5 linked regions of the Macaca fascicularis genome follow. The protein of the gene in region 1 interacts with the protein of each later gene in a pairwise test. Links are inferred from orthologs where the notes say so. Each region holds a gene or a part of one and is shown in the gene's direction. Other genes may lie near its edges.

Evidence for each region.
Region 2: the proteins of RBM17 (region 1) and CCHCR1 interact in binary tests that used the Homo sapiens proteins (3 or more experiments, as listed by UniProt). The link is inferred for Macaca fascicularis from reciprocal best matches to the Homo sapiens genes RBM17 and CCHCR1.
Region 3: the proteins of RBM17 (region 1) and U2SURP interact in binary tests that used the Homo sapiens proteins (3 or more experiments, as listed by UniProt). The link is inferred for Macaca fascicularis from reciprocal best matches to the Homo sapiens genes RBM17 and U2SURP.
Region 4: the proteins of RBM17 (region 1) and QRICH1 interact in binary tests that used the Homo sapiens proteins (3 or more experiments, as listed by UniProt). The two-hybrid records come from large-scale screens. The link is inferred for Macaca fascicularis from reciprocal best matches to the Homo sapiens genes RBM17 and QRICH1.
Region 5: the proteins of RBM17 (region 1) and PPP1R12C interact in binary tests that used the Homo sapiens proteins (3 or more experiments, as listed by UniProt). The two-hybrid records come from large-scale screens. The link is inferred for Macaca fascicularis from reciprocal best matches to the Homo sapiens genes RBM17 and PPP1R12C.

What each region holds. Positions count from the first base shown.
Region 1 is NC_088383.1:7,036,584-7,041,607, forward strand, and holds the start of RBM17 (splicing factor 45), read left to right. Parts: upstream 1-1,954; 5' UTR 1,955-2,089; intron 2,090-5,024. UniProt on the Homo sapiens protein: Splice factor that binds to the single-stranded 3'AG at the exon/intron border and promotes its utilization in the second catalytic step. Involved in the regulation of alternative splicing and the utilization of cryptic splice sites.
Region 2 is NC_088378.1:141,514,728-141,519,045, forward strand, and holds part of CCHCR1 (coiled-coil alpha-helical rod protein 1), read left to right. Parts: intron 1-480; coding exon 481-784; intron 785-3,905; coding exon 3,906-4,069; intron 4,070-4,167; coding exon 4,168-4,303; intron 4,304-4,318. UniProt on the Homo sapiens protein: May be a regulator of keratinocyte proliferation or differentiation.
Region 3 is NC_088376.1:45,814,297-45,819,138, forward strand, and holds the start of U2SURP (U2 snRNP-associated SURP motif-containing protein), read left to right. Parts: upstream 1-1,777; 5' UTR 1,778-1,804; coding exon 1,805-1,849; intron 1,850-4,842.
Region 4 is NC_088376.1:112,040,539-112,044,856, reverse strand, and holds part of QRICH1 (transcriptional regulator QRICH1), read left to right. Parts: intron 1-2,063; coding exon 2,064-3,095; intron 3,096-4,318. UniProt on the Homo sapiens protein: Transcriptional regulator that acts as a mediator of the integrated stress response (ISR) through transcriptional control of protein homeostasis under conditions of ER stress.
Region 5 is NC_088393.1:62,991,061-62,995,944, reverse strand, and holds the start of PPP1R12C (protein phosphatase 1 regulatory subunit 12C), read left to right. Parts: upstream 1-1,916; 5' UTR 1,917-2,009; coding exon 2,010-2,330; intron 2,331-4,884. UniProt on the Homo sapiens protein: Regulates myosin phosphatase activity.

The sequences.
Region 1 (5,024 bases):
CCCAGTCTAGACAACTTCTATCTTTGCTCTTCTTCCTTTTTCTGTTTACACACTATTACTTTCTGCTTCTTTTATTGACCAAGTACTTCCTTCTGCTTTTCACATTTTTATTTTATTTCCAGTTGCTTTCACAAGTGCTTAATTCACTTAATTCCAAGTTTTTAGTTGATACAAAAACTTAAAACCATAAATTTTCCTCTTAGTACTATCTGAGCTAAATCCCATGAGTATGTCGTTTTCATACTTTTCTAGATATTATGTTATTTTGATTTTGTTTTCCTTTTTGTTCCAAGTGTTATTTGAGCATTTAAAAATTTTCAAGGGGTAGGCATGCTTTATTTTCTGTTTTTTTTTTCATTAATTTCTACTTTTATTGAATTGCTGCAGATAATATTACCCATATGATTCTACTTACTGGACTATATTAAGATTTTTCTCTGTGGTCTAAAATAGGACTAATTGTTGTGAATATTCCTTAGACACTAGGAAAGATGTTATGTCTATTTAGGGGACAGCATTTGATATCTATCCTAGGAATTGTATTTTTAGGTATTCTCAATCCTCATTTACTTTTTGTACCCTTAGTCTGGCAAGGAATGTGCCAATTATTTCTGCCTATTCATTCACTCCTACAGTGTTTGCTATGAATAATGAGATTATGTGATTTGGTGCAAAGATTTTCCTATTTTTCCCATTTTTTTCTTGATTGTGAATTGTGCTTCTCAAGATTATAAAATGCCCTTCTTACTCTTACTTAATGCTTTTTGCCCTGAAATCAACGTTTGAGTAAGTTGTTTGTGATTCCTGATTTTTAAAAATATTTTTTGCATTATCCTGGTATATCTTTTCCAATCTTGTATTTTTCAAACTCAGAATAACTTTAGTACTTTCTTGTATACAACACTGAGTTGCATGATGGTTTGGGCTCCAATCTGAGGTTGTAGTTTTTTAATAGGTAAGCTTAGGTCTATATTTCTTCTTGTGAGACATTTGGTCTTGTTCTGTCATATAGTTTGGTTGTGCTTTCTGTTTTGTAACTTTTTCAAATATTTCCCTATATTGGTTTGTTTTGCTGTGTGTGTGTGTGTGTGTGTGTGTGTGTGTGTGTGTGTGTGTGCATGTATGTGTGGATTATTTGAAAACTTTGTAGTTTTGTTCTGGGTTACCTTCAGAATTATACCATCCCATGACGTCTTTAATCCTCTCTTTCTTTAGATTGTCTTTTGTCTCTCCACTATATTTCTTTTTTCCCCCATTTCCCGTTTTCTTAATCACTGGATTTTAATGGATTATAGTAACTTTCTTGGTATATTCCTTCCGACTAAGACGTCTGCTTAAATCTCTACTGTTTGATTTATCGGCTTGAACTTTATTTGAGACCCAATTACAGATGTAAAAATCATATTAACCCGAAGTCCCACGTTCCCTTCCCCTCCCTACTTCTGTCAGCGATGTCGTTTTTAAAGACCGAGGCTTTATAGCATTGACATTCTTCTCTGTACCCCTAATCGCGGCATCTGTTTCCTTAATCTTACGCTTAACCCCGTGCTCCTTGCCATCCTTTTGCAGCATCTCGCCTATGCAGACTTATTTTCAACTTTTTGCTTATATAGGAGAGGTTTTGAATGAATGAGAGCGAGGGGCCTGGAGGGACTTCCCCCACCTCCCCATCATAAAGCCGGGCCTCGGACCACTTCTCCTCCTCACCATCTAGGGGCGCTGCCGCGCTCCCCAAACCTTGTGGAATTTCGAAAATGTGCGCCAGGGCGACACCTCTTGACGGTAGAAGACGACGCCGGCGGAGGGGAGCGTGCAGTGCGGTCCTCCCGCGGGCAGGGGGCAGTGCGGCAAGGCGCCCTCGGCGCAGGCGCAGAAGCCGAAGCAGGCGCTGGCGCAGGCGCGGCGCAGGCGCGGGCGCGCTCTCCCGGCAGCCCGCGCTCCCTGACCCCGCGCCGCAGAGCGCCCTGAGGACTCAGCGGAGGGTGGGCGCCGCCGAGGCCTCCTGCCGCCGGCGGGTTTCCGCGGAGTGCCGCCCGGCTCCGCGCTGCCGCCGCCGCGGCCCATGGGCAGAGTCGGCCGGGCGGGCCAGGTAAGTCGCACCCCGGCGGCCCCGGGTGGGCGGCCTGGCGGGACCTGAGGCGGGCGCGCCTTCCCGGGAGGCGCCGGACGCAAGGCCGCGGCTTTAGGCCCGTCGCGAGGGGCGGGGGCCGGGCCAGCGCAGCCCGAGCCTCCGGGGGGTCTCAGTCCCCGCGGCGGGCCCTGGTCTCTCCGCGCGGCTGCAGCCCGGGACCCTCCGCCCGCCGCCGCCTCCGGTGACCCGGGCCCTGACCTCCCTCTTCCCCTCCTCCTCCTCCTCCTCCTGTCTGCCTCTGGCTCTTTGGTACTGAAGAGCGTTTCTCCTTCACCTCGTGGGCCACATCCTGACGAAGTTGTCCGGTCACTAGACCCCAGTAGTCCGGAGCGTGTCCCCCCTGACCCCGCACAGTTGCCCCTCTCCGGGGCTCAGAGAAAGAAGCCGGTTCCTCCCCGGGACTCAGAACTGGGAGTGCAGACGTTGGCGCTTCCCAGACTCCAGAGCTCGCTAGGACAGGAATGCAGCCCTGACCCCGGCGTCGCCTCGGCTCGTGCTGTTTGAGCGGTGTTTGAGCGCTCGCGGCCGACCCCAAGCAGTCTTTGAGCGTCACCTCTTGCCCAGAGGATGTGTAATGATCGGGGAATGCAGGTGGAAGGAGGTTCTGCCCCTGCTCGCAGGAGTTTGGTTTCTAGGAAAGCAGGCGTGAAAACCCAGGCCCGGGTTGATCTGAGAGACGCAAGTAGGGTCTGAAAGGACCTCTCTTGGGAGGGGAGGTGATGCTTCTGTTGAGTCTTGAAGGTACTTGGTTAGATGGTGGGAGCTGGGGAAAAAGGCTCCCGGCGGTAAGTGCGAAAGTAGCAGAAGTGAAGCCTCGTAGTGCGTTCTGGAAACTGCAGGTAAGGCAGAGAGAAAGGTTTGAGGAGCGGGTGGTGTTGTGTTTCGAGGAGTAGTCAGGTCAGAACATGGAGGTTTCTTGAGAAGCAGTAAAGGAGCGCCGTTGGGGGTCCTTGTTTTGCTAGAGCCAGGCATATGGATGGGAAATAGGATATTCTAGATAAGGGCAAGATTCGCATATACTCAAGATGAGCACTGGCTCCCCGCAGCAGATGGAGTTTTTAAAAGGGTGAGACTCGGTTTCCACATTTTTAGTTGATAAATGCTGCGGATATTTTGACCGTAATGACGGCTTTTAGGGAATGTGGGGTAACAGTTTAGCGAGCTAAACGAGAGGGCTTTTAGTTAAGCAAGGTGCTGCATGCTGTCCAGTTTATAACAGCAGGTTGTGCGATTGTGGAACTCTCTGGAACCAAAGACAGCGTTTCTGGAGGCACTTGAGAGGATTGTTGTACATTCCCAAATGCAACTTTATTTAAAGTGGATTTCTTTTTACCTGGTTTGCTTTAAATTACCTTCCCATTCTCCCCTACATATGAATTTTTCAAACCTCCCCCCAGCAGGGAACAGATGATCCCAGGCTAGTCATCTCTCAAACCTTTCGTAATAGTCAATAGTGAAGGAAGTTCTGTTTATTCGCCTAAATTACAGGTGACTCTACTCTACTGTTTGCATTTTGGTAACAGCAGAGTGTGAGATTGAACGGAAAGATTAAATTGACAAGGGTGTCAGATGGAGGTATGGGAAAAAAAATTTTTTTTAATTCTTTAGAAAGTCATGGTAGAGCTTATACTTGAAGTAGATGCTTTTTTAGCTGTATTTTTTGCGGACACCAAAGTGCACCACCCCTTCTGTTTCCCCTCCTGTTCATTTCTGTGTATATTTGCCATATTTTTTTTTTTTCTCCTGAGACAGAATCTCACTCTGTGGTCCAGGCTGGAGTGCAGCTGTGCAAGTCGGCTCACTGCAACCTCCGCTTCCCGGGCTCAGATGGTTCTCCTGCCTCAGTCTCCTGAGTAGCTGGGATTACAGGCGCTTGCCACCATGCCCGGCCAATTTTTGTATTTTCAGTAGAGACGGGATTTCACCATGTTGGTCAGGCTGGTCTCGAACTCCTGATCTCAGGTGGTCCTCCTGCCTCGGCCTCCCAAAGTGCTGGGATTACAGGCGTGAGCCACTGGGCCCAGTCTTGCCATATTCTTTAGACTTCAAAGAGGCATGCTTTGTTTTATGATGCATGAGTATCTATTTAGTGATAGAAATATTTCTTCCTAACAAGCCTGCCTCTTTAGGTGCTCAGAACTCAGACCTCGACTCTTTATTGGTTGTGTGGTGGTGGTAGTTTTTCTCTCCTTAATTGTGGTTTACAGTTTAAATTTTATCCTACTTAAGTTATAAGTTATGTGCTTAAAAAGCAGATCTGCAGATCTCACTGTTTCATAATAATGTGATTTAAATAGGTGCATTAACATTTTTCATCCTTTGACTAACACATTTAAAAAATATTAGTAGAGCCACTTACAGTGTTCAATCATGGTGCTAAGCTAGAGATACAAAGCTGAAGATAAAAAACACCCCTGCCCTTAGGGGGCTTACACTGCAGGAAGAAACAGGTGTGTGAAACAATAGGCAGCATAACTTGCCAAGGTTGCTGTGATCTGAGTATGCTTGAGGAAACCAATTGGGGGGAGTTAGTTTTATGTGGGGGCAATAGTCACTAAAGGCTTCTGAGATGCACTTGAAAGATAAGTAGGTGGGGTGCTTCTGAGAAGACACTTCCATGTTCTTTTTCCTGCCAGTTGCACATGTTTTAAAAAAATACTTTCCAGCTTGGGTGGAATCTTGAAAACTCAACATTCTTCCTTCTGGCAGAACCATGTTTGTTATGTTTCTTGAGAGAAAATGTAGCATATATGAAACGTGGGTTGCTCAAAGCGTAGTGTTGCCACAAAAAGGAAGGAAATAGCAAATATTTTAAAGTTATAAAACCCAGCAATTTGTATTTACTTTTGATCCTGGCTTCTTGTGGTATATCCAATTGTTAGAAAGTACAACT
Region 2 (4,318 bases), on another chromosome or scaffold:
CATATTGATACTGGAAGCTCAGCTCTCTCTATGCCCATTCCTCCCTCAAACTTCTTGCCCTTAAATCAGAATTGAGAAGTCTCTGTTCTTCCAACCTTTCCACTTAAAATGTGTGGCCTAAAAATAAAAAATAAATAAGACAAAAAAACACCAAAAAACAAAAAGAATGTGTGGCCTAATGATATACACATTTGATGTTGAATCTGTCTGTATGTAGCTCTCTCTAGGGAGATCATGTTCCATCATCTCAGCCAGACTTTAGGTCCTGTGAGTCCAGGCACTGGACTTAACATGCTCAATAGGGCTTTGATGAATGATAATAATGTCAATGCAGACATCCCCATACCCCAGCTTCAGCACCCCCTTCACCTCCTCACACGGGGGCAGAGAGGTCCTCTTTTCCTTCTGGCTATGTTTACACCCTCAACTATCCTTCCAGCACTGGAGACAAGTCTCACCTGCACTAACCTGTCTTTGAAGGTCCTGGGAGCTGGAGGGGTCACAGGCCCTGAGCCAGCAGGCTGAGGTGATCGCTCGGCAGTTGCAAGAACTGCGGCGGCTGGAGGAGGAGGTCCGGCTCCTGCGGGAGACCTCACTGCAGCAGAAGATGAGGCTAGAGGCCCAGGCCATGGAGCTGGAGGCCCTGGCACAGGCAGAGAAGGCCGGCCGAGCTGAGGCCGAGGGCCTGCGTGCTGCTTTGGCTGGGGCTGAGGTCGTCCGGAAGAACTTGGAAGAGGGGAGCCAGCGCGAGCTGGAAGAGGTTCAGAGGCTGCACCAAGAGCAGGTGAATGCAGGGGTGGGAAGGATTTAAATTCATAACGGAGAGCTGGGCAGTAGCTTCCAAGCAAAGAACAGGTATTGCAGAAGAGACTCTCCATGAGTAGTGAGTAGTGGAGTGATGAGACCTTTGGTGAAAAGAAACACACATGGCCTAGAAAGATGGAGAATTTGGTTATTTTGATCTTAATTCAGGTTGCACTTTTTCCCCAAGACTCAGGTGGCCTCCCACGACTTGAAGCCCTGCTTCCTTTTCTAGTAGGAAGTAGTTTGCCTCCCTGCTTTACTCTGGGTACCAATTCATCGGGGGTATTGTGGAGGGCAGTGAGGAAGGTGGATATAAAGGGGCTATGGTGGACTGGGAGAGAGAGATTATTCAGTCTGCAAACTCAGTGCTTACTCTTTGCCATCTCAGACTCAGTGACCAAATTAGCCTGAATCCTGCCTTCATGGATGGAACTGACAGCCTCATGGGGGATACACACATCCACTTTTAATTTAATCATAATTAATTGCAATCAGGAGGAGTGCCTTGAAGGCGAAGGACTAGAGAGCACTAACTTAGTCTGGGGTTCAGGGAAGGCCACTGTAACCAATTGGACATGTCAAGGAAAGAAACCATAAGGCCGGGTGCAGTGGCTCACGCCTGTAATCCCAGCATTTTGGGAGGCCGAAGCAGGTGGATCACAAGGTCAGGAGTTCAAGACCAGCCTGGCCAACATGGTGAAACCCCGTCTCTACTAAAAATACAAAAATTCACCAGACATGGTGATGCACACCTGTAATCCCAGCTACTCAGGAGGCCGAGGCAGGAGAATCACTTGAGCCTGGGAGGTGGAGGTTGCAGTGAGCCGAAATTATGCCATTGCACTCCAGCCTGGGCAACAGAGCAAGACTCTGTCGCAAAAAATAAAAAAGGAACTGGGAGAAAACAAGGGAGAAATTCTTTGTAACCTTGTAGTGGGCAAGGCCTTTCTACCTGTGAGTCAAAATCCAAAATCTAGAAGCCGTAAAGGAAAAGATTGATCCATTGACTTTATAACATGAACATTAGGAATGGCAGGGAAAAAAAAAAAAAAAAAAAAAAAAAAAAAAAAAAAAGCTCTATTTATAGCTCAGATCACAAGAAAAGGGTAATATCCCTCATATAAAATGTGTGCCTAGAAATTGGTAAGGGAAAGACCAGCAATCCAGTCAGAAAGTGGACAAAGGAGATTCATGAAAGAAACTTAGAAACAAGAAGCTAGGCCGGGCACAGTGGCTCACACCTGTAATCCCAGCACTTTGGGAGGCTGAGGTGGGCAGGATTACTTGAGGCCAGGAGTTCAAGACCAGTCTGGCCAACATGAAGAAACCCAGTCTCTACAAAAAATACAGAAATTAGCCGGGTATGGCGGTGGGCGCCTGTAATGCCCCAGCTTCTTGGGAGGCTGAGGCAGGAGAATTGCTTGAACCTGAGAGACAGAGGTTACAGTGAGCTGAGATCACCACACTCCAGCCTGGGCAGCAGAGCGAGACTAAAAAAAACTAGCAAGCTACCATTTGTGCTGAATAGGAGTTGGCCAGTGAATAGGCGTGTGAGGTCCAATGGTCGCTGGAGGACACTCGGCAGGACAACCGGTGGAGGCGGGGACAGGCAGAGGCCAGAAGGCTGGAGCATAGAGATCAGGGGCGCTGAGTGTGCTGCAGAGCATGGGACCCAGGGCACAAGGCCTTAGCCACTTCAGAACTTGCTACTTTCCCTTAAGAGCAATGAGCAGGCTGGGCACGGTGGCTCATACTTGTAATCCTAGCACTTTGGGAGGCTAAGGCAGAAGGATCACTTGAGCCCAGGAGTTTGAGACTAGCCTGGGCAACAACGTGAGCCCCCATCTCTATTTTATTAAATAAACTAGGGCTGGGCATAGTTGCTCACATGTGTAATCCCAGCACTTTGGGAAGCTGAGGTGGGTGGATCACTTGAGGTCAGGAGTTCGAGACCAGCCCTGCCAACATGGTGAAACCTCATCTCTACTAAAAGTACAAAAATTAGCTGGGCGTGGTGGCTCATGCCTGTAATCTCAGCTACTTGGGAGGGTGAGGCAGGAGAATCGCTTGAACCTGGGAGGCAGCGTTTGCAGTGAGCTGAGATTGTGCCATTGCACTTAGTCTGAGCAACAAAGTGAAACTCCATCTCCAAAATAACAAAAAGAAAACAAAATTGTTTTTTTAAGTGATAAGCAACTGTTGAAGGGTTTTAGGCAGGGAAATGACATGATTAGATTTGTATTTTATGTCTAAAAAGTTTTGTCATTTATATCCCCCAAATTAACTTTATTGTTGTATGGAGACGGGGCTAGAGGAGGCAGACCAGGAAGCAGGGTGGCCACTTTGCCCTCCTTCCCAGTCCATCCCATGACTGTTGCTGGCTCTGACACCCTTGCAACCCTTTGAGGTGCCATGAGCAAAAGACACAAAATTCCTCCTTTCCTAGAACTTTCCTTCCGATGTGGTCTGACAGATAGTAACACATACACATAAGCAAGATATGGTCAGTGCCAAGTGCTCGGGAGGACGTGAGCAGTTGATGGGGCACAGGAGGGTGGTGAGGGTTATTAGAGGGCCCAGCGAAGCCACCCTGAGGAGGGGCTATCACCTGGGGTCTGTGGAGCAAGGAGGGGCCGCTGTCTGGTTCTCAGCGGACTCCCTGTGGCTGGAGCGGGGAGCATTAGGAGAGCCTCTAGGGTGAACTCAGGAGGCAGGCAGAGGCTGGGTCCCCCGGCCTGCAGGTGTGGAGAGATGCCTGGGTTTTGCTGTGAATGCTGTGAGAAGCCACCGAGGGTTTGTAAAGACTAGTTAGGAGATGGTCCCTGTTGCGAGGCAAGAGATGAGGGTAGCTTACCTTGGGTTGGTGGCAGTGGAGACGGAGACGGAGAGAGGTGAAGATATGTTTTGGGGGAGATTGAACAAGAACTCCCGATGGGTTGTGGGGCAACTGCAGAGAGTGAGTTACCAGCTCTCCATTTGCTATGCGCAGTTGGGTGATTGGTTTGGTCATTGTCTAAGGTCACAGAAAGTGGGAGTGAAGGGAACAAGGAAGGCCTCCATGTGGGGTCGAGCTCCTGCTGAGCCTCCTCTTCTTTCCACAGCTGTCCTCTTTGACACAGGCTCACCAGGAGGCTCTTTCCAGTTTGACCAGCAAGGCCGAGGGCTTGGAGCAGTCTTTGAGTAGTCTGGAAACCAGGAGAGCAGGGGAAGCCAAGGAGCTGGCCGAGGCTCAGAGGGAGGCCGAGCTGCTTCGGAAGCAGCTGAGGTAGGTGGGTGGATGCCGACGGGGGCCCAGCAGTTGGTGATGTGGTGGGTCTGCAGGGTGCCCCACTGATGGCTGTCCCATTCCCACCCCAACCCTAGCAAGACCCAGGAAGACTTGGAGGCTCAGGTGACCCTGGTTGAGAATCTAAGAAAATATGTTGGGGAACAAGTCCCTCCTGAGGTCCACAGCCAGACATGGGAACTGGAGCGACAGAAGTTTCTGGAAAACATGCAGGTGAGTGTGCAGGAG
Region 3 (4,842 bases), on another chromosome or scaffold:
CAGAGCCGGTTCAAATGCTTTATTCTCTATGACCACAATCCCTCCCCCGCCCCGTCTCTTTTCCTCACTCTTACTCTCAGAATTAATTACTTCTTTCAGAGGTCCCTCAGCTATTGATCCTTCCTTGCAGCATCAATTTAGTTATGCATAGTATTAGTTTGCGGTTTCCTTGTCTCCTTCATTTCTCATTAAGTTTTAAAGCATATGAAGACAGTGCATGTTTATCTGTCTCTGTAAGCCCTACAACACTTTGGGCAGGCTTTTACACACAAAACGGGGCTCAAAAATATTTTGAATAAATGAATTAGGGAGAGGTCCACGAACGCCCTCCGCTCCCACCCTAGTCCTCAGAGCAATACTTTAAAATAAAAATCTGACCATTTCAACCTTGTTAAAGGCCGATCTTCATTCTGAGAATAGCTTTTTTTTTTTTTTTTTTTTTTTTTTTTTTTTTTTTGAGCGGAGTCTCGCTCTGTCGCCCAGACTGGAGTGCAGTGGCCGGATCTCAGCTCACTGCAAGCTCCGCCTCCCGGGTTTACGCCATTCTCCTGCCTCAGCCTCCCGAGTAGCTGGGACTACAGGCGCCCGCCACCTCGCCCGGCTAGTTTTTTGTATTTTTTAGTAGAGACGGGGTTTCACCGTGTTCGCCAGGATGGTCTCGATCTCCTGACCTCGTGATCCGCCCGTCTCGGCCTCCCAAAGTGCTGGGATTACAGGCTTGAGCCACCGCGCCCGGCGAGAATAGAATTCAAACTCCTAAGCACGATGGTGACCTCAGGGCGCTGTGTGAACCTGCACCCACACCCCGTCCAACCACGTCCCTCTCCACACCTGATCTAATAAAATGACTGCTTAGGTGACCTGCAAGACCGGCTGTACTAATTTATGCCACAGGCTTTTACCTCAATTACTCCCTCTTTCTGGAATGTCCTTTCTTTCCTTGCCTGGCCTGATTCAGGCATAGTCTTCTCAAACAAGCTTTCCTTCTTTGAATCTAGGTCCTGATTAATAACTTTTTAAAAAAGTACTAAGTACAGAAAAGTTTAATATGATGCTCCCCCATTTATGTGATTAAAAATGAAAACAATACTAAAGTGTAAAATGTAATCTTTAAAAATGTCACACAACTTTACATGCATGCTAGATTTAGAACACCGTCTGTATTTACGATTTTCTCTCATTGACTGTCTCCACGCGCACCCACTCTGCAGACGCCCTTAACAGTGTCTACTGGATCACCCTCAGGTTGGGTCAAACGCTCCTCTTCTCGGCTTTTCGGGCGCAACCGTATGTCAACATTCACCATCTTAAGATGAGCAGACTGCAAGCGTGGGAGCTGCCGAAGTGGCGAGAACAGCGTTTCCGTCGATCAAGCGCCAGGCCACCGGTCAGCTCCAGTCCTATTTTGAGTTGAAGTAAAAGCTACTCCCTAGATGGCCAGTGCACGTCTTTAAAAAGCGGCTCCCTTCCCACAAAGGAAATACGACTGGTTCGCATCTGTCAAGGGTTGGCGTTGGGATAAGAGAGTGAAATATCAGCTGGCCCTGGACAAGGAGATACTCTGAATTCCCGGACCCAATAACGTGACCAAACACCGTGACTCCCAGGAAAACTAGCGTAGTGAGCGCGGCTGAGGAAATTACTGACACCGGAAGTCACGTGAGCGGCTTCCCCCAAGGTCGCTATCTCGACAGTCGACTATTCAGCCTTGCAGGCTCCTCTGGCGGGCTTCGCTGAGATCCGCTCTTTCGGTGCTCGACTCGCCCGTGCTGCTGCTGCCGCCGAAGGAGGGGCAAAGCTCAAGATGGCGGACAAAACGCCAGGCGGATCTCAGAAGGCCAGTTCAAAGGTAATTTCTGACAAAATTTCGTAAGTCAGCGGATCTACCACTGTCGTCTGGGGCCCACAGACGCTTCTGGCCTGTGAGAGGCGATTGGGATTGGGGTCTGCGTTCTGCTCGGGACGGTAGGCCCGGGCGCCGCCGCACCGTGGTGCGCAGGTTGAGAGGCCTGGTATCTCCCCTTATTCCCAGCCTGGATTCAGCTCGAAACTGGCGTGCCCAGGGGGTGGTGGCGTGAGTGCTTCGGCCCGCACTTGGCGTTGGAGTGAAATCAGGAATTCAGATTGAGGTCTGAAGTCGTGAAAACGCTCTCCTGTATTTCAGCTTCCTGCGCCCTGAGGCCTCCAGACAGCGCCTGGGAGAGAGGCGGGAATCGCTTCCCGGTGCTTAAGTGCTGCTTTTTTCTCGGTTTTGGATCTCACTCACTTCCGGCCTCCCTCAGTTTCCCTCCAAGGAATAAATAATCTTTAGGGTCGCCAGCTGTGAGGGGAGGACCACTAGGGCAAAGACGCGAAGTGGGAAATGCAGAGGCGGGAGCAAGCTCTCCTTTGCAGTGCTTCATAGCCAAGGTTAATGTACACGCTACACGTGGTCTTTACCTTAAGGGGAAGTAAAAAGCACTTTTTAGGGTAGAGGACTCGTGGTCTCTTTCTTCATGTTGAAGAAACACAGTGAAAAGAGAAGCCCCGTAGACTTTTAAGCTACATACGATTAGTAAATTGCATTTGTGTTTACAGGGAATCCTGTGCACGTATTGTGAAACCAGTGAGCTGTGGTAGTAGTTCAGCATTAGTAAGGTTGGGTTCTTAGTTGCCATCTTGGGCGGGACATTTAATCGTTGTTTGCTTTGGTTTTCTGGTCTCGAATATATTAATTGGTACTGCCACTAGGTAGTTAAACTTCCCGATGCTGATGCAAAAAGGTGTATAACACTTTTTTAGGTGCTGGGGACTGTTACATCTTAAAGAGTATGTGTGACTATAAATCAGTTATTAGAAAGTTAAATTTACTGTAGGAGAGAAGCTTGCTTTTACAGTTCTGAGAAACACCAACTCGTTTTCTACTTGCGTTCTCTAATCCGACTGTTTATGCCACTTGGTGAATGATGTACACCAAAATAATTAGTTCATAATTAGTAATGGTCTTACCAGACATCCTTTAGTTACGTAGAAACTTTGATAAGGGGCCAGTTTCGGCTGCTTTACAAGGTGTTGTGTCAGTTTTTTTCCCTCAGTACATTTCGTCTTCTCCCCCTCTTTGGGGGCGGGGGGAATACAGGGGTAACTCGCTCTACCAACTCTTCTCAACAGACTCATGACAAGAACATACCGTTAAGGAGCTATTACTAAAGTTAGCTACGTTCATAACAAGTCATGCATAAGCCTCACAATTTCTGTTTCTTCTCAAAGTAATATTTTAAGTATTCCCTACTTGAGGTCTTGGATACATTGAAAACATTTCAATGTCTGTGTTCAGACTTCCTTCTGAAATAGTACTTTTCATGATTGTGAATGATGGCTGTTCCCTATAAATAAATTATTGGATTATCCAGTAATCTTTTCTGTTTATATTGTCTTAGATTATAATCTCTTGATGCTGTTAACAGATTTCTTACTGATGTCTGTAAAAGGAATCAGAATATCTTAACTAATTTGGAGGCTGCATAATGTAGTGGGAAGATTATGAATTTTGTTAGCAAAAGAGATTTGGGTTTAAATCGTGACTTGGTAATTAATTATATTTGCGATAATATTAAGGCAGATTGCTTAAACTCTGGAACCTCAATTTCCTCATTTGTAATGTAGATATAATTCTTTTTTTACAAGGTTGATATAAGGATTAAATGAGCTAATGTCTATAAAGTACAACATAATAAATTGTAGTTTCTTTCCCCTCACCTTTTTTGTTTTTAGAGGAAATAAGTTCTTAACTTTCAAAATGTCAGGATAAATTTTAAACCTGTGATTTGGAATCTAAGTAATCAGCCGTCATAATGACTGCCCAGATAGCTGCTTTTTATTTTTATTTTTATTTTATTTTATTTTATTTTTGTGAAGAAGTCTCACACTGTTGCCCAGGCTGGAGTACTGTGGCACAGTCTCTGCTCATTGCAACCTCCGCCTCCCGGGTTCAAGTGATTTTCCTGCCTCAGCCTCCTGAGTATCTGAGAGTACAGGCGCGCACTTCCACACCCGGCTAACTTTTTGTATTTTAGTAGAGATGGGGTTTCACCATGTTGGCCAGGATGGTCTCGATCTCTTGACCCTGGTGATCCACCCGCCTCGGCCTCCCAAAGTGCTGGGATTACAGGCGTGAGTCACTGTGCCCCGCACTGCTTTTTATTTCTAACACAAAATTTGTTAGAGAAAGTGTAAGATCATTTTGGCTAATACTACAGTATTTGGAATTTCTAGCCTTTGATATCTGGTTTGATTTCCTTTCCCCAGGAAAGAACAGATGAGTGGCTTATGTTTTACAATACAGATGGAGTGAACAGATACTTCTGTTTCATGTTTCGTCGTTTTCTTTGGTAGTTAAATTCCCATTAATATGGATAGGGATGCTTATATTTCTAGACATTGGGAAAATGGTAATTTTAAAATATACAGTATGGCAAAACTATTAACATTTCTTAATTATAAAAAGATTAGATTAGATAACCTCTACAGGTCTTCTAGTTGCTTTTTTTTTTTTTGAGACAAGAGTCTTGCTCTGTCGCCCAGGCTGGAGTGCAGTGGCACAATCTCAGCTCACTGTAACCTCTGCCTCCCGGGTTTGAGCGATTCTTCTGCCTCAGCCTCCCGAGTAGCTGGGACTACAGGTGCCCGACTAATTTTTGTATTTTTAGTATTTTAGTATTTGTATTTTAGTATTTTAGTATTTTGTATTTTAGTAGAGACGGGGTTTCATCTATTGGCCAGGCTGGTCTGTAACTCCTGACCTTGTGATCCCCCGGCCTCGGCCTCCCAAAGTGCGGGGATTACAGGAGTGAGCCACCGTTC
Region 4 (4,318 bases), on another chromosome or scaffold:
CTCCCAGCACTTCGGGAGGCCAAGGCGAGCGGATCACAAGATCAAGAGATCAAGACGATTCTGGCCAACATGGTGAAACCCCAACTCTACTAAACATACAAAAATTAGCTGGGCATGGTGGCACACGTCTGTAGTCCCAGCTACTCAGGAGGCTGAGGCAGGAGAATAGCTTGAACCCAGGAGGGGGAGCTTGCAATGAGCCGAGATCACACCACTGCATTCCAGCCTGGTGACAGAGTGAGACTGTCTCAAAAAAACAAAAAATTGGCCGGGCACGGTGGCTCAAGCCTGTAATCCCAGCACTTTGGGAGGCCGAGACGGGCGTATCACGAGGTCGGGAGATCGAGACCATCCTGGCTAACATGGTGAAACCCCGTCTCTACTAAAAAATACAAAAAACTAGCCGGGCGAGGTGGCGGGCGCCTGTAGTCCCAGCTACTCGGGAGGCTGAGGCAGGAGAATGGTGTAAACCCGGGAGGCGGAGCTTGCAGTGAGCTGAGATCCGGCCACTGCACTCCAGCCCGGGCAACAGAGCGAGACTCCATCTCAAAAAAAAAAAAAAAAAAAATTTAGCTGGGTGTGGTGGTGGTGTACCTGTAGTCCTAGCTATTTACTATTTAGCAGGCTGAGGTGGGAGAATCACTTGAGGAGTTTGAAGTTTAAAGTGGCCTATCATCTCACCACAGTACTCTAGCCTGGGCAACAGAGCAAGACCCTGTCTTTAGAGGAAAAAAGGGCCCCTTGTGGTGGCTCACGCCTGTAATCCCAGCACTTTGGGAGGCCAAGGCGGTTAGATCGTCTGAGGGCAGGAGTTCGAGACCAGCCTGGCTAAATGGCAAAACCCCGTCTCTAGTAAAAATAGAAAAATTAGCTGGGCATGGTGGTGGGCACCTGTAATCCTAGCTACTCAGGATGCCGAGGCAGGAGAATTGCTTGAATCTGTGAGATGGAGGTTGCGGTGAGCTGAGATCGCATTATTGCACTCCAGCCTGGGCAACAAGAATGAAACTCTGTTTCAAAAAAAATTTTTAAATGCCGGCCGTGGTGGCTCACGCCTATAATCCCAGCACTTTTGGAGGCCAAGACGGGCAGATCACCTGAGGTCAGGAGTTCGAGACCAGCCTGACCAACATGGTGAAATCCCGTCTCTACTAAAAATACAAAATTAGCTGGGCGTCATGATGCATGCCTGTAATCCTATCTACTCAGGAGACTGAGGCAGGAGAATTGCTTGACCCGGGAGGTTGAGGTTGTGGTGAGCCAGGATCATGCCATCGCCCTCCAGCCTGGGCAACAAGAGCAAAACTCTGTCTCAAAGAAAATAAAAATGTTGGCCGTTTTGGCTCACGCCTGCAATGCGCTAGCACTTTGGGAGGCCGAGGTGGGTGGAGCAGTTGAGGTCAGGAGTTCAAGATTAGCCTGGCCAACATGGTGAAACCTCATCTCTACTAAAAGTACAAAAATTAGCTGGATGTGGTGGTACATGTCTGTACTCCCAGATACTCGGGAGGCTGACGCTTCAAGAATTGCTTGAACCTGGGAGGTGGAGGTTGCAGTGAGTGAGCTGAGATCGCACCATTGCATTCCAGCCTGGGCGACAGAGTGAGAGTTCGTCTGGGAAAAAAAAAACAAAAAAAACACAAAGTTTTGATAATAGACTCCAGCATATCTGTAATCCCAGCTACTCCTGGAAGCTGAGGCAGGAGAATCGCTTGAACCTGGCAGGCAGAGGTTGTAGTGAGCTGAGATTGTGCCACTGCACTCCTGCCTGGGCAACAGAGAAAGTCCATCTTTTAAAAAAAAAAGTTTTGATACTTCCTTGTTAGACCCTAGTTAATTGTCTTGCTTGCTCTCTGGGGTGGATACATGTCCCTGTGATTGTAATGTGCTGCTGGACAATTCTGTATTTAGTTTTACGTATTATGTCCTCAGAAGCCTTGAGTATGCCAGTGTTTTCTCACATTGTGCAGGGCCCCTGTCTGGGATCTCTTTTTTTACCTTCCTTGGATGCTGGATTTTCAGTGTTGCCTGGTTCACTCACTGATGAATCTTGTTGCTTACAGGTCCAGGTGCAGGTACAGCAGTCTCCGCAACAGGTCTCGGCTCAGCAGCTCTCCCCACAGCTCACCGTTCACCAGCCTACTGAGCAACCCATCCAGGTCCAGGTGCAGATCCAAGGCCAGGCACCACAGTCAGCAGCCCCCTCCATTCAGACCCCGTCTCTGCAGAGTCCCAGTCCCTCGCAGCTGCAAGCAGCTCAGATCCAGGTGCAGCACGTGCAAGCGGCCCAGCAGATCCAGGCTGCAGAAATCCCGGAGGAGCACATCCCACATCAGCAAATCCAGGCTCAGCTGGTGGCTGGCCAGTCTCTTGCTGGTGGTCAGCAGATCCAAATCCAGACCGTGGGTGCCCTTTCCCCACCACCATCCCAGCAGGGCTCACCCCGGGAAGGGGAGCGGCGGGTTGGCACAGCCAGTGTCCTCCAGCCAGTGAAGAAGCGCAAAGTGGACATGCCCATCACTGTGTCCTACGCCATCTCAGGGCAGCCGGTGGCCACCGTGCTGGCCATTCCACAGGGCCAGCAGCAGAGTTATGTGTCTTTGAGGCCAGACTTACTGACAGTAGACAGTGCCCACCTGTACAGTGCCACTGGGACCATTACTAGCCCTACAGGAGAAACCTGGACCATCCCTGTTTATTCTGCCCAGCCCCGGGGGGACCCTCAGCAGCAGAGCATTACCCACATTGCCATTCCCCAGGAAGCCTACAACGCAGTTCACGTCAGTGGCTCACCCACGGCCCTGGCAGCTGTTAAGCTGGAGGATGACAAGGAGAAGATGGTGGGCACCACATCTGTAGTGAAAAACTCCCATGAAGAGGTAGTGCAGACCCTTGCAAACTCTCTCTTTCCAGCACAGTTCATGAATGGCAACATCCACATTCCAGTGGCTGTGCAGGCTGTGGCAGGCACTTACCAGAATACGGCTCAAACTGTCCATATATGGGACCCCCAACAGCAGCCGCAGCAGCAAACTCCCCAGGAACAGACACCACCACCACAGCAGCAGCAGCAGCAGCTCCAGGTTACTTGTTCAGTAAGTGAAGACTTATCAGTAGGGCAGGCAGCCTGGTCCCTCAGGGCCCAGTGCGCAAAGAGCTTGCCTGGCAACCTCTGGCTTATTTACTGCTGTTACTCTTACAGTGATACAGTATTTAGTATTTGGGAGGAGAGGGGGAGAAACAGCACTTGAGGCTGTGCAACAGAAAAAAAGGTTTATCCTGGTACATGGAAGTAAATGAGATGACCAGGAATTGCTTTGGAGTTTTGGAGAGATTTTGGGTTTAAGTACCATGGACACTTCTTTGTAATCTCTTCTCAGGAAGAGTAAAGTTATAGGTGTAGATGAATGGGATACCTCAAGTGTGTCCCAGGTGCTGCTTCCTTGTATCATAAGTAAATGGTTCTAGCGAAACACTTGTAGTTTATCACATAGATTACAAATATCACTGGAGAGGCTGTGAGATTCTTTGTTCTGTTTTTCATCTTTGGGCACACAGTGTGGGTGAATTAGAAAAGCTAAAATATCTCTTAATGAGCCTGTTAAAAGTGATAACCATTGGGAGGCTTGAATATGCCGTCTATGCAGTGGGACCTCCCAAGAGTGTTTTTGTGTTACTTGAAAACGGGCAGCCGGGCAAGGTGGCTCACGTCTGTAATCCTAGCACTTTGGGAGGCCGAGGCGGGTGGATCGCAAGTCAGCAGTTCAATACCAGCCTGGCCAATATGATGAAACCCCATCTCTACTAAAAATACAAAAATTAGCTGGGCGTGGTGGCAGGCACCTGTAATCCCAGCTACTCAGGAGGCTAAGGCAGGAGAATCACTTGAACCCAGGAGGCAGAGGTTGCAGTGAGCCAAGATTGTACCATTGCACTCCAGCCTGGACAACAAGAGCAAAACTCCGTCAAAAAAAAAAAAAAAAAAAAAAAAATATATATATATATATATATATATATATATATATATATGGGCCAGGCACGGTGGCTCACGCATGTACTTTGGGAGGCCGAGGTGGGTGAATCACCGGAGGCCAGGAGTTTGAGATCAGCTTGGCCAACATAATCCTGTCTCTACTAAAAGTACAAAATTAGCTGGGTGTGGTGGCACACACCTGTTATCCCAGGTAATCCTACACGGGAGGCTGAAGCAGGAGAATTGCTTGAACCCGGGAAGCAGAGGTTGCAGTGAGCTGAGATCGTGCCACTGCACTCCAACCTGGGGCAACAGAGCAAGACTTTGTCTCAAAACAAACACACA
Region 5 (4,884 bases), on another chromosome or scaffold:
CAACATGGTGAAACCCCGTCTCTACTAAAAATAAAAATTAGCCGGGCGTGGTGGAGCATGCCTGTAATACCAGCTACTTGGGAGGCTGAGGCAGGAGACTCCCTCGAACCCAGGAGGTGGAGCTTGCCGTGAGCCGACATTGCGCCACTGCACTCCGGCCTGGGTGACAGAGCAAGACTCCGTCCCCCCCAAAAAAAAAAAAAAAAAAATCTGACAAGTTGCTCTAGTAACCCAAAGAAAGAGAAGGAGAAAGCAGCTGCCTCACCCAGACAGAGTGGTTCGAATGTTTCAATGCCTCATGATACAATAAAACCACAAAAATTTTCGTAACAACAACAACAACAAAAAAAAAAAAAAAAAAAGGAAAAGAAAGAGAGAGGGAAAGAAACAGGCCTCGTGGGATGCACAGTTTACTTCTCCGCGCAAACCCAGGACTTCAGAGTGGGTGGGAAACTCCCACAGCGCTTGGGAAACCGTCTGTAGCCTGTCTGGATTTTGGCCCAATTCTGTGTGATTTTGGTCGGTCTCTTCCTGTCTCAAAGTGCCAGCCACCTTCCCAATTTGGAGCTAGGCGCGGGATCCGCAAGGTGAAGATTAAAGTGTGCTCATCGCTTGGGCCCGCTGTAAGGTGATTCGCCCCCCACCTGCTGGAACTCCTCGCCCGGGACCACCAATCCCAGCATGCCTTGAGAGCGCGCGGGGGCCTGGACGGGTCCCGGGAGGTCCGGTTGGGCGCAGAAGAAGCGCGGACCAGTGAAGGCTCTGGGAGCCCTGTCACTGTTGGGTTCCTTTCCTCCGTGTGGTTCAGGGATTACCACTAGGGACTGTGGACTTCTCCTGCCCCGAGCCCGAGATGCCTTCCACCCGCTGTGTTTTTAGGGGTGTGGCCCTGTGGGCTACATTTCCCAGCGTGCCCTAGGATCGTGGTCCTGACCTTTGCACCGCAAATTTCATTTCCCAGCATGCCCTGGGAGGTCACCCAGGGAAGCCTGGATATGGACCGTCTTTCACGGCTTTTGGGTTGTGGACTCAGTTTCCCATGGTGCCCTGGTGAACCCATTCATTCATTCATTCCAAAAATATTTGCGATCACGTACTCTCAGGTTCTGTTCTACGAACCAAGGACAAGTAGTGCACAGAAGACAAAAGTCCCTGCCCTCGTGGAGCTTATTTCGAGTTAAGGGATCAGGAAAAAACCCAAAATAAATAAAACCCAGCCGGGCGTGGAGGCTCACGCCCGACATCCCAGCAGGATTACAGGCCGAGGCGGGCAGATCACGAGGTCAAGAGATCGAGACCATCCTGGCCAACATGGTGAAATTCCGTCTCTACTAAAAATATAAAAATTAGCAGGGCGTGGTGGCGGGCGCCTGTAATCCCAGCTACTCTGGGGGCTGAGGCAGGAGAATTGCTTGAACCTGGGAAGCGGAGGTTGCAGTGAGCGGATATCGCGCCACTGAACTCCAGAGTGGAGACAGAGCGAGACTCCGTCTCAAAACAAACAAAATAAAACAACAATAACAAAACAACCCTGCCTCTCCCCGCACTCCCTGCCACGCGGCTGTCCAGTCGATTTCCTAACTGCCCTGGGGCAGCCTGCTCTTCGTCCCCTTTACCCGGTACTCTACGCTTCCTAGTATGCCGTGGGGCATCCCTCCGGTCTGCAGACTCCATTTCCCAGCATTCCCCGGAGGAGGCCCTCATTCGGTGATTTCCACTGGGCGCCTCGGAGCTGCGGACTTCCCAGTGTGCATCGGGGCACAGCGACTCCTGAAAGTGGCCAGGGGCAACTTCCGCTTATGGACTCCATTTCCCGGCGCTCCCCGCGACCTGCCCAGCACACCCTGGGGCAGCGCCGTGACGTCGGCGCGCCGGGCGGGGGCCGGGAGATCCCTGCGGCGGTGGGGGGGGCCAGCGGCAGTTCCCGGCGGCCCCCGGGGCGGGCGGGCGGCGGCGGCAGTTGGGGCTCGGCGCTCGCTCGCTCGCTCGCTGGGCGGGCGGGCGGTGCGATGTCCGGAGAGGATGGCCCGGCGGCTGGCCCGGGGGCGGCGGCGGCGGCTGCCCGGGAGCGGCGACGGGAGCAGCTGCGGCAGTGGGGGGCGCGGGCGGGCGCCGAGCCTGGCCCCGGAGAGCGCCGCGCCCGCACCGTCCGCTTCGAGCGCGCCGCCGAGTTCCTGGCGGCCTGTGCGGGCGGCGACCTGGACGAAGCGCGTCTGATGCTGTGCGCCGCCGACCCTGGCCCCGGCGCCGAGCTCGACCCCGCCGCGCCGCCGCCCGCCCGCGCAGTGCTGGACTCCACCAACGCCGACGGCATCAGCGCCCTGCACCAGGTCAGCGCCCCCTCCGGCGTCTCCCGGGGCCAGGCCCACCCTCCGCAGCGCCGCCTGGGGCATCCTCCTTCCCCGGTTCCGAGCCGCCGTTGCCAGTCTCGATCCGCCCCGTCGTTCCTAGCCCTGGGCTTTGCCACCCTATGCTGACACCCCGTCCCAGCGCCCCCTTACCAGCCCTCTTCGACCACCCTGCTTCCGAATTGGGGCTGCTTCAAGTGGCCCTGGGCTTTGCCACTCTGTGCTTACCACCCTGCCCCAGGCATCCTTACCAGTCCCCTTCGATCTACCCTCTTCCGCATTGGAGTCGCTTTAACTGGCCCTGGCTTTGCCAGCCTGTGCTGACCCCTGCAGTCCCCCTTACCATCCCTCCCTCGACTTCCCCTCTTCCGATGTTGAGCCTCTCTAGCCGGCCCTGGACTTTGTCTCTCTCCCTGCCCTGCCCTCTCCTGAACCTGAGGCAGCTCCCATAGCTCACTCTCGTCTATCTCCCTGGCCCTGGCCATTGTCACTTTGCGCTGCCCTCCACTCGCCGCCGAGTGCCCTTGCTGTGCCCCCTCTACTCTGCCCTCTAATGCGGCCGTCTCTCTCCTGAGTCCGGACCACTTTGAGCTCTACTGGCTTCTGCGCCGCCTCTGGCCCGCTGTTTCCCCTTTCCTGGCGGGTGCTGCTTTCACTGACCTGCATTCTCTCCCCTGAACCTGTGCCGCTTTCTGCCTGCAGCTTGTGGCCTGGGCCACCCCTACGGCTAGGCCCAGATCCTTCCCCACCACCTCCTTCAGGTTCCAGCTTCCTCCAATCCCTCTTCCCCTTGCTCTGTGCTGTGCGTTGCTGCCCAAGGATGCTCTTTCCAGAGCACTTCCTTCTCGGCGCTGCACCACGTGGTGTCCTCGGAGCGGATCCTGCCCTTGTCTGGGTCCTCTCCGGGCATCTCTGCTCCCTACCCCAACCCCCATGCCATCTTCATTCGCTGGGTTCCCTTTTCCCTCTCCTTCTGGGGCCTGTGCCATCTCTCGTTTCTTAGGATGGTCTTCTCTGTGGGATGCCTCTCCCTTGCGTCCCCACCTCCCCTTCTCGTAGGCCTGCATCATCACCGTTTTTCCCGACAACCCCAAAGTCCCTGTCTCCCTGGCTTTAGCCACCTCTCCATCCTCTTACTTTCTTTGCCTGGACACCCCCTCCTCCTGTGGATTTGGGTCACCTCTCACTTCTTTAATTCGGGCAGCTCCCATACCCCCTTTACCTCTCTAGTCTGTGCTCGCTCTTCCGGCCCCTGTCACGGCATCTTCCAGGGGTCCCAGAGCTCGGCTGGTCCTCTTCTTCCAAGCCGGGCCCCCATGGCCACTTCAGGACAAGATCTTGTGTCCCAGAGCCGGGACCACCTTATATTCCCAGGACCGATTAATATGGCTCTGGTTCTGGGTACTTTTATCTGTCCCCTCCACCCCACCGTGGGGCCACTAGGGACAGGACTGGTGACAGAAAGCCCCATCCTTAGGCCTCCTCCCTCCTAGTCTCCAGATATTGGGCCTGACCCCCACCTCCTTTTAAGCACATTCCTTATCTGGTGACACACCCCCATTTCCTGGAGCCACCTCTCTCTCCCCGCCAGAACCCCTAGGGTTTGCTTACTGATGGAGCCAGAGAGGATCCTGGGAGGGAGAGCTTGGCGGGGGGTGGGAGGTAAGGGGGATGCGCGACCTGCTGGTTCTCAGTGGCCGCCCTGCGCTGCCCTCTCCCAGAGCCTGAGCTGCTCTGGCGCGGCCGTCTGGTGCATTTCACTGAGCCGGGTGCTGCTGCTTCCTTACGCTTCCCAAGAGGAGAAGCAGTTTGGAAAAACAAAATCAGAATAAGTTGGTCCTGAGTTCTAATTTTGGGTCTTCACCTTTCTAGCACCGAATTTGTACTGTTCCTCTGTGCATCAGTTTTCCCTGTGAGATAAGGCCAGTAGCCGCCCCGCCCTGGCAGGGCTGTGGCGAGGAGGGCGTGTCCGTGTGGAAAACTCCCTTTGTGAGAATGGTTCGTCCTAGGTGTTCACCAGGTCGTGGCCGCCTCTACCCCCTTCTCTTTCTCCATCCTTCTTTCCTTAAAGAGGCCCAGTGCTATCTGGGACATACTCCTCCGCCCGGAGCGGGGTCCCGGGGCCCCTCTTCCCTAAGGCCCTGCTCCGGGCCCCTGGGTTTCAGTCCTTGGCAAGCCCAGGAGAGGCGCTCAGGTTCCCTGTCCCCCTTCCTCGTCACCATCCCATGCCCCTGGCTCTCCTGCACTTTCCCTACAGGGGTTCCTGGCTCTGCTCTTCAGACTGAGCCCCCTTCCCCTGCATCCCCCAGAGGCCCCAGGCCACCTAGTTGGCCTGGACCCGGCGAGAGGTCGCCCCAGCCCAGTCCGCCAGGCCGGCTTTCAGGTGGATTCTCCTCCCACTGTGGGGTGACTGCTTGGCAAACTCACTCTTCGGGGTATCCCAGGAGGCCTGGAGTATTGGGGTGGGCTGGAGTTCAGGGAAGAGGGGAGTCCCTTCTCAGGTTACGTGGCCAGCAAGCAAGGGAGCTGGGTTTGG